2 linked regions of the Saccharomyces cerevisiae S288C genome follow. Changing the gene in region 2 together with the main gene of any one other region gives a genetic interaction. Each region holds a gene or a part of one and is shown on either strand. Other genes may lie near its edges.

Region 1 (3,542 bases), on a different chromosome or scaffold from region 2:
GTTCATAATGTGTAGAGCAATGAAACCGGTTGCGCCAGAAACGAAAACAGTGGTATCAGTAGTCATAATTATTACTTTTTTAAGTCTGTTTAGCACAGTTGTACAATGCACAATTACTGTTTTTATAAACTATGTAGTAAGATCCATTGAGCTCGAGACATAGTTTTTCTGAATGAGCGGTTCATTTATAGTAATTTGTCTTCATAAAGTTGCATAGAATAAATTCCGGAATTATTCGCAAGTTTTTCCGTGTTTCTAGGATAGGGGTCGGAACCGCGGAAAATCCTATGCTAATTTCGGCCGACATTTTTATAGAGCGAAGCCGATCTTAACAAATTGATGACGTATGCGTTAGGAAACTGTAACTAGAGAGCTGGCGTAAATATTAAACGTATCTTTTTTATTATTTCAATATGAATGCTATTAATTATTAGTATAAAAAGGGGAGACAGTTGATATATTTTCGAATATGCTGGGTGCGTTTTCCACTGGATAAGAGTTTACCAGAAGAATATCTTGTTCTTCCTTCTTCGGTATATAGAAGATGTTGCAAGGTCTAAGGTAAAACACTCTTTTGGCTCACCGATCCAACTGCCCCGTAGGTTTCTGTCTTCTTCCGTCATAAATATGTATTCCGAGCTTTCACTTCTGGAAAACTCGGTGTCATCTTGTTTTTCAGATTGGCAGCTTAATGCACAATGTAGGGTCTCTGCTCTCTCATCGAATGAATCATTTAGTATGCTTTGCACGCTGGCATAAGAATTTGAGTTTGAATCCTTCAAACAATCGTACGAATTTAACCAAGGATCATTTAGGAAGTCATCGATATCGTATCTCTTGTTTGGGTCAACCTCCAAAAGATGGGTAACTGCGTTCTTAGCGCCAGAACTTATGTTGTCCCACCATGGCGCCAAGAATTCGTAATCTCCTCTCGATATTTTCTTCAATAATGTTTTTTCGTTCTTTTCGTAAAACGGAGGATATCCACACAATAACGTGAATAGTACGCAGCCAATACTCCACATATCAACTTTCATGGAATATCGTTTGGAGGTGAATACTTCTGATGCGACGTATTCTATCGTTCCGCAGGGAGTTTTTGCGGTATTGTTCCGAAGTTTCTTGGCTAGTCCGAAGTCCATTAGCTTCACTAAACCAATACCGCCTCCGCCGACACCTAATGTAAACTCGTCTTCTTTTTGCATGTCCCCATCAAGGCCATAAAATGGGATAGGTTCAAATAGTAGGTTTTCTGGTTTGACATCACGATGCACAATACCCATGTAGTGCATATGTTTAATTGCAATTGCTACCTGAGTAATGACATGACGAGCTAAGTCTTCACTAAAGCATGTTAGTTGGACGATCCTATCAAATATTTCCCCACCTGTGACTAACTCCGTCACTAAGTAATAGTAGTTCGCCGATTCCTGGAATGCGATAAATTTTGTACAATGCGGATTATTTTTCGAAACCAGTTTGTGGATGGCAACTTCGTTTAAGACTTTCTTTCTGCTGGAACCTTGGATTCTATCATTCCCTTTTAAGATGGCATCGCTCGAAATGCCTTTCTTTATGATTGCTTTGATGGCAACAGGAGCTTGGTCATCCGTGTTGATGCCTACTGCTTTAAATACTCTGGAAAATGCCCCTTCACCAATTTTATTGAGCAGTTTATAATTGTGCAACTCCAGTTGTTCAGGATACTGGTGATTTGAACTGGAATAATCGGTTGACTTGTTAGAAGTTTCATCTAATTTTAATTCAGTGGAAAAAATGTCACAAAAATATTCGTCTTCTTGAGAGTTGTTTTCCAAGCAGCTCTGTTCACTTTTTTCTGAATCGGACGAGGTAACATTAAAGTCGACTGAAAGAGATGATCTACGGCAACCCGATGCAAAGGAGTGGTGTAAATTTTCTGAGTTACCATTTATCCTGTTAACTTTATTTTTACCATCAGCGGCATTGAAATACGCGGCATCGGGCGTTGTTGGATAAAAATCGATGCCATCGGCTATAAATTCTGGGTTTACTGACATTTTTTTCTCTATGATGACTTATTTTATATGATATGTAGCCTCTGTGCTTGGTGCTGCATGAAATAGATGCTGGTAGTATTGTTTTAGGAAGATTATTTGAGTAATCTTTGCGATGTGTCACTGGAAAAGAGTTAAGTGATGATTTATTTTTTTCAATTGACTTTCAACATGTAGGAAATATCTGGTATGAAGTAGTATGAAGTATTTATACGTCAATGATCCGCGAATATTCGGATAATGACTTCACCCACTCCATATAACTGAAAATCCGACAGGAAACTAAGGGACGCCGAGATGTCAATCTCATGCACTTCACAAACTCTTAATGGGAGTGCATTGTGTGATCATGCAGCTACCATAGGCACCGAAAGCGTGGGGTAGCCCACTTAAAAATCTTCTTCTCGGAAAAAAAAAATGAAATGCCTTGCCGGGAAGGTGCTGATGCAGGAAGAATTTCTTCATGGAAGGGCACTCCTCATCCAAAAGGTTTCTCGAAGAAATATTCTATCATATCCGGAATTTCTTTTTTTTTTCCACTGATTTTTTTCTGCTAGAATTGTTTGCCCCTCTCCGCAGGGCGGGGTCTCTTACATGAAAAAAATCTAGATTCGTCACACACAGGAAAGGAAATCGACTATTTAATTACTTCTATAAAATTTAACTTTCATGCAAGTCCCCTAAAAAAAAAAAACACTACAAGTTTGTAATTCCCTTTTTTTATGTACAAGATTTTAACGTCATTTTTCACAATGTCGCCGTATAAAGGCGATTTTTCTGCATTTTTAAGGTCAACAGGTATCTGGACCTTCCATTGTTTTTCCGCTTCGATTGTCAAGATTGTCAATTTTCGCAATTTTGATTTTTATTTCCGTTGCTGTGACTTTCTTCTTCATACTTGAGCTGCATTGTTCTTTTCTCCGCTCTCATTTTTTTTTTGTTTCCCCTCATTATTTTCTTGCATAGCAAAGTGAGTTGGAACTACAAAGTTTTCACAGTCTGAAATTCCGTGAATTTAAAAATAAAAAATCAATTTTTTCTTACACGTAATTGCAGAAAGAAAGTATACGTAGTCACTAAAAAGCGGTCATATATCAGGAAGTTCTGGTCTCCCGTCTAAAAATAGAACAATGCGTGTTCCAGAAACTTAATTATGGGAGATGTAACAAACTTTATTACATGTTAAGAAAAGCCGAGTTCAAAGTATTAACCGGAAGAACACCAATTTCTTCAATTTTAAAAGCCAGAGCGCCGTACCCGATTTCTTCTCTTAAACGACATGTTCAACCAACATTCTTTTACATGCAGCAAACAGGCAAAAATGAAGGTCTAATTTTTCTCGTCTTTAGTCGGCTTCAAACGCGGGTAGCTTGATCACAGAACCAAAAAGATAAAAAATAATGGTTGCTAAGAGATTCGAACTCTTGCATCTTACGATACCTGAGTATTCCCACAGTTAACTGCGGTCAAGATATTGCTTGAATCAGGCGCCTTAGACCGCTCGGC
Region 2 (4,234 bases):
GCAGTTCAGTTCGTGTTGTTTACCTCTGCCGAAACTGAGGCCGCCCAGGCCCACTTTCGCTTCTCTTTGGCGTGTTGTGGCGGCGATCGCTGCATTGTTTCAAGTGCCCTGGAGACGTAAAACAGGCGTGGGAAAAGCAATCTTCTGCATAGGTTGCTGCTGCCTAGCATATCAGTGGCGCAGAACGCGGTATTTTGCATACAAGATTATGACAGGAACATGCTTCATGACAGACTTGGCGCCCTAACATCCGCATCGGTGGAGGCAATGTAATACTGTGATACTATGTGGTTGTTTGCCATTAGTTGCACATTGCAATAAAAGGGTCGTCAAAAAAAGACGAGCAGCATAGTATCTGTAGCATTATTAATATGTCTAGGGGATGGCGTACGTTATGCTTCTCAGACGGTTTTCTAAGAAAAGCTTTGTCCCTTGCGGTGACCGCACAAAATAAAAAGGGGAGGCTAGCAATTCACTCATAGCACCTTGTCTATTAGAAATGGAATGCATACTGATTGTCCTTGCGCTTAATTGTCTATTGTAAATTGTAATCGCATGGTCATCTTTTAGTAGCATCTCTATTACTTCGTATTATGGTCAGTAAATGATTGACCAAGTGCAAGCGGAATCTTTCGTTGCTGGACTCAATTGGTAATGTCTATATACACTATTGCAAAGTAGTTAAGCCTTGCCATTTTCATTTCTCTCTTACTTTTTAGACCAAATATTTAGCTATTTACTTTGACCGATTTTGCTCATTTTTCGGGTCATGGCATAATGAATAAAAACAACAATTGGTTAACAAAACGATAAAGGGCAATTGACGCTAAGAATAGAAACTTTTAAATACCGTTTGTACGTATGTAAACATAGGTTCCAGATGCATGCTCGAAATACATAATAAACTTACACGGGCGGCACGACTTTACTTAGTACGTTTTTCACTACGAGAGATTCCAGGAAAAGGGGATTCTCAAACTCATTAACCTCCTCACACTTAATCTTCGCAAGTTTCTCTAGCATTTCGTCCACCAAGTTGGGGTCGCTACCGTACAATAAGGAACTATCCATGGAGGAACGCTGAACCAATTCCAAGTGCATGGGGAAGTACCACCTGGACGCCTCTTTGACATGTGAAGGTGACACAAACATCTTGCCGCTATGTAGACCAATTAATCTAGACAATAACACCACGTCGTCCAATGAATTTGTATATACCCCGCCGGCTTTGGCGTTATACGTCAATCTATGCGTTCGCAAATGGACCATGATATCGAGAATATACCGTCTTACAGTGGACCCCACAAATACATCGTTCAGATTTGCCTCTTCATTTAATATGATCGACCTCTTGCTCTCTGGCTCCTGCTTCTCTTCCTCAGCCATACCAATGCTATTATTGGCTCTTGTATTAATGCTAGACTCAGTTGAACTTTCAAAATCCAAATATGGGGGTGCACATGCAAACCAGAATTTGTGTTTGAGCCAAGCGCCCATACGGAAAGACGTGGGCAGGAAGATGCGAGTTTTGGGAGCTGGTTTACCTGCTTCATCCCCATCCTTAGCGGCGCCTGAAGGCTGCACGGGATTATTCCAATGAACCACTCCTATAAATATACGTGTTGACTGTGCCTTCTCAATCGCCACTGTGCAATCTCTCATAATTTTTACTAATTTCGCTTGGTCTGGCTGTAAAAGAGAATTTATGTCTGGAATGATAACAATCTCAAATTCCTTAACATGTGTAGTTGCTAACGAGTCCAAGCTTGCAGTTGTTGAGTTCAGAACCGTGACCTTTATTCCTCCGCCCGGATAAGCGTCATTGATTGCCCTCTTCAGTTGTATATCACAAGTACTTGGCATCGAAGAGGCTAATTTTTCCTTTGAGACGCTGTCTCTATACATACATAGAAAGCTCTTTTTAGCTGTAACAGAAAACTTCAAACATGTCTGAAAATCCGGCAGATTATGATCGCCCATTCCTATTTTTGCCACATCCAATCAATAATTTTGCAGCTCCGATTTTGCAGGTGTTGCTGTTCAATGGAAGTAATCGTTGTTATAAAGGAGCACATCACCAAGTCCTCTAAGGCTTAAAGGTTTGTCGTTATGCACGTAAAAGATGAAATTTTTTTATGGCTAGATGAGCTCATCGCGATTTGAAGAAAAAGAGTAAAGAAAACAATGCTAAGAAACTACAATAAGAGCAAGTTGCATATCATCGAATAATACTAGTGGGGTTTTCTAGTTCGTTACAGCCAACAACAGACAAAAGATATGGCTAAACTTGTACATGATGTTCAGAAAAAGCAGCATAGAGAACGTTCTCAGCTAACTAGCCGTTCCAGATATGGGTTTTTAGAAAAGCATAAAGACTATGTGAAACGTGCTCAAGACTTCCACAGGAAGCAGTCCACTTTGAAAGTCCTCAGAGAAAAAGCAAAAGAGAGAAATCCAGATGAATACTACCATGCTATGCATTCAAGGAAGACAGATGCAAAAGGACTGCTGATCAGCTCACGTCACGGTGACGAAGAAGACGAATCGCTTTCCATGGATCAAGTTAAATTACTCAAAACGCAAGATAGTAATTATGTGAGGACGCTGAGGCAAATAGAGCTGAAAAAGCTGGAGAAAGGAGCGAAACAGTTGATGTTCAAAAGCAGTGGGAATCATACAATATTCGTCGATTCCCGAGAGAAGATGAACGAATTCACCCCAGAGAAGTTTTTCAATACCACCTCCGAGATGGTGAATAGATCTGAAAATAGATTAACTAAGGACCAATTAGCCCAAGATATTTCAAACAATAGGAACGCTTCATCAATAATGCCAAAGGAATCATTAGACAAAAAGAAATTGAAAAAGTTCAAGCAAGTCAAGCAGCACTTACAGAGGGAAACTCAATTGAAACAGGTCCAACAAAGAATGGATGCTCAAAGAGAATTGTTGAAGAAGGGTTCCAAGAAAAAAATCGTAGACTCTTCAGGAAAAATTTCATTTAAATGGAAGAAACAACGGAAACGTTAGATTTTTACCATCTATATAGTATATATAAGTGAATCAGGCAGACGTTCCGTAATCCTTCTTTTCATGTTTTATAGGATTACGTTTATAAAAAGTATTCACTTTTCTTAAGTGTCTTTTGCGCCATCAAAAAAAAAAGGATTTTGAGGCACCGGAAAAAAAAGAACCCCTCTCCGAATGGGAGTATTTAGGACAAGATTTGTAAAGTGCTCCCTTTTTGAGCAATACTACAGATCTATAATGGGGAACAAACTCATACACGATGGACAAGTATTTGAATTCATTTGTTGACCACCTTTCAGAGTGGTCATCTCGTGCCTTTAGGAACAATTCATCAAGCGCTAACCAAAGTGCGTCGAACAAGGAATTAGAACAAGTTTTTGAACAGATCAATGCTATAGTTGAAAACCACAATAACAAATTAACCACTGCCTTTGATAAGATATCATATCGCGTTGCTCACAAGATTACACACTTGGTGGAAAGCCATTCTTTAGTATTCAACTACGCCACTTTAGTTCTCATCGCAAGTGCTTTGGTCGTTATTGGCTCATTTACGTCTATTTCTTCTATTCCATTTACAGCTCTACCTCCTACGAGAGAACACTCATTGTTTGATCCTACAGATTTTGATGTGGACCACGACTGTCATGTTATCTACCGCGAGAATGACGAAGATAAAAAGAAAAAGAAGAAAAGCAAGAGGTTTTTCGATATGATGGATGAAAAACATGCGATTATACTGCCCTTAACTAGTGGCTGTACTTTACTCGCTCTCTATTTTGTGATCAAGAAACTACACCTAAACTGGCTAAAATATGTGGTGAAAATTTTGAATTTTAATATAACACTGCTAAATATCCCAGCTGGCACATTTGTCTACTCCTACTTTCTCAACTCACTTTTCAGAAACCTATCACATTTAGCTTCTTGGAATCCCCTGGTTGTTTTACCAAGGTATCGTGTAACAATAGCTGATGATAACGAAGACCTGAACAAGATAGGCGGGTTTGTTACCAATTTGAATTACAAAGATGGATTGACCAACTCAGTTGTTCACAAGAAAACATTGGATGAGATTGAAAAAGATCATTGGATGAAGCATTTTTACAGAAGAGAATTAGTTGAACCGAAGGATATTAAATCGAAGAGGCAGATCAGCAACATGTATTTGAATAGCGCATTAATTGTTTCGTTCGTTCTGTCC

The links. A genetic interaction does not mean that the proteins touch.
Region 1: mutations in MTC2 (region 2) and RCK1 together harm fitness more than expected from each alone (negative genetic interaction), as found in Saccharomyces cerevisiae (2 studies listed by BioGRID).

Annotation. Positions count from the first base shown.
Region 1 is NC_001139.9:205,530-209,071, reverse strand, and holds RCK1 (putative serine/threonine protein kinase RCK1), read right to left. Parts: upstream 2,040-3,542; coding exon 501-2,039; downstream 1-500. Other genes in the region: carbonyl reductase (NADPH-dependent) ARI1, read right to left, coding at 1-66.
Region 2 is NC_001143.9:254,516-258,749, reverse strand, and holds MTC2 (Mtc2p), read right to left. Parts: upstream 1,981-4,234; coding exon 907-1,980; downstream 1-906. Other genes in the region: YKL097C (uncharacterized protein), read left to right, coding at 1-247; rRNA-processing protein UTP11, read left to right, coding at 2,278-3,030; YPF1 (aspartic endopeptidase), read left to right, coding at 3,290-4,234. UniProt on the Saccharomyces cerevisiae protein: May be involved in telomere capping.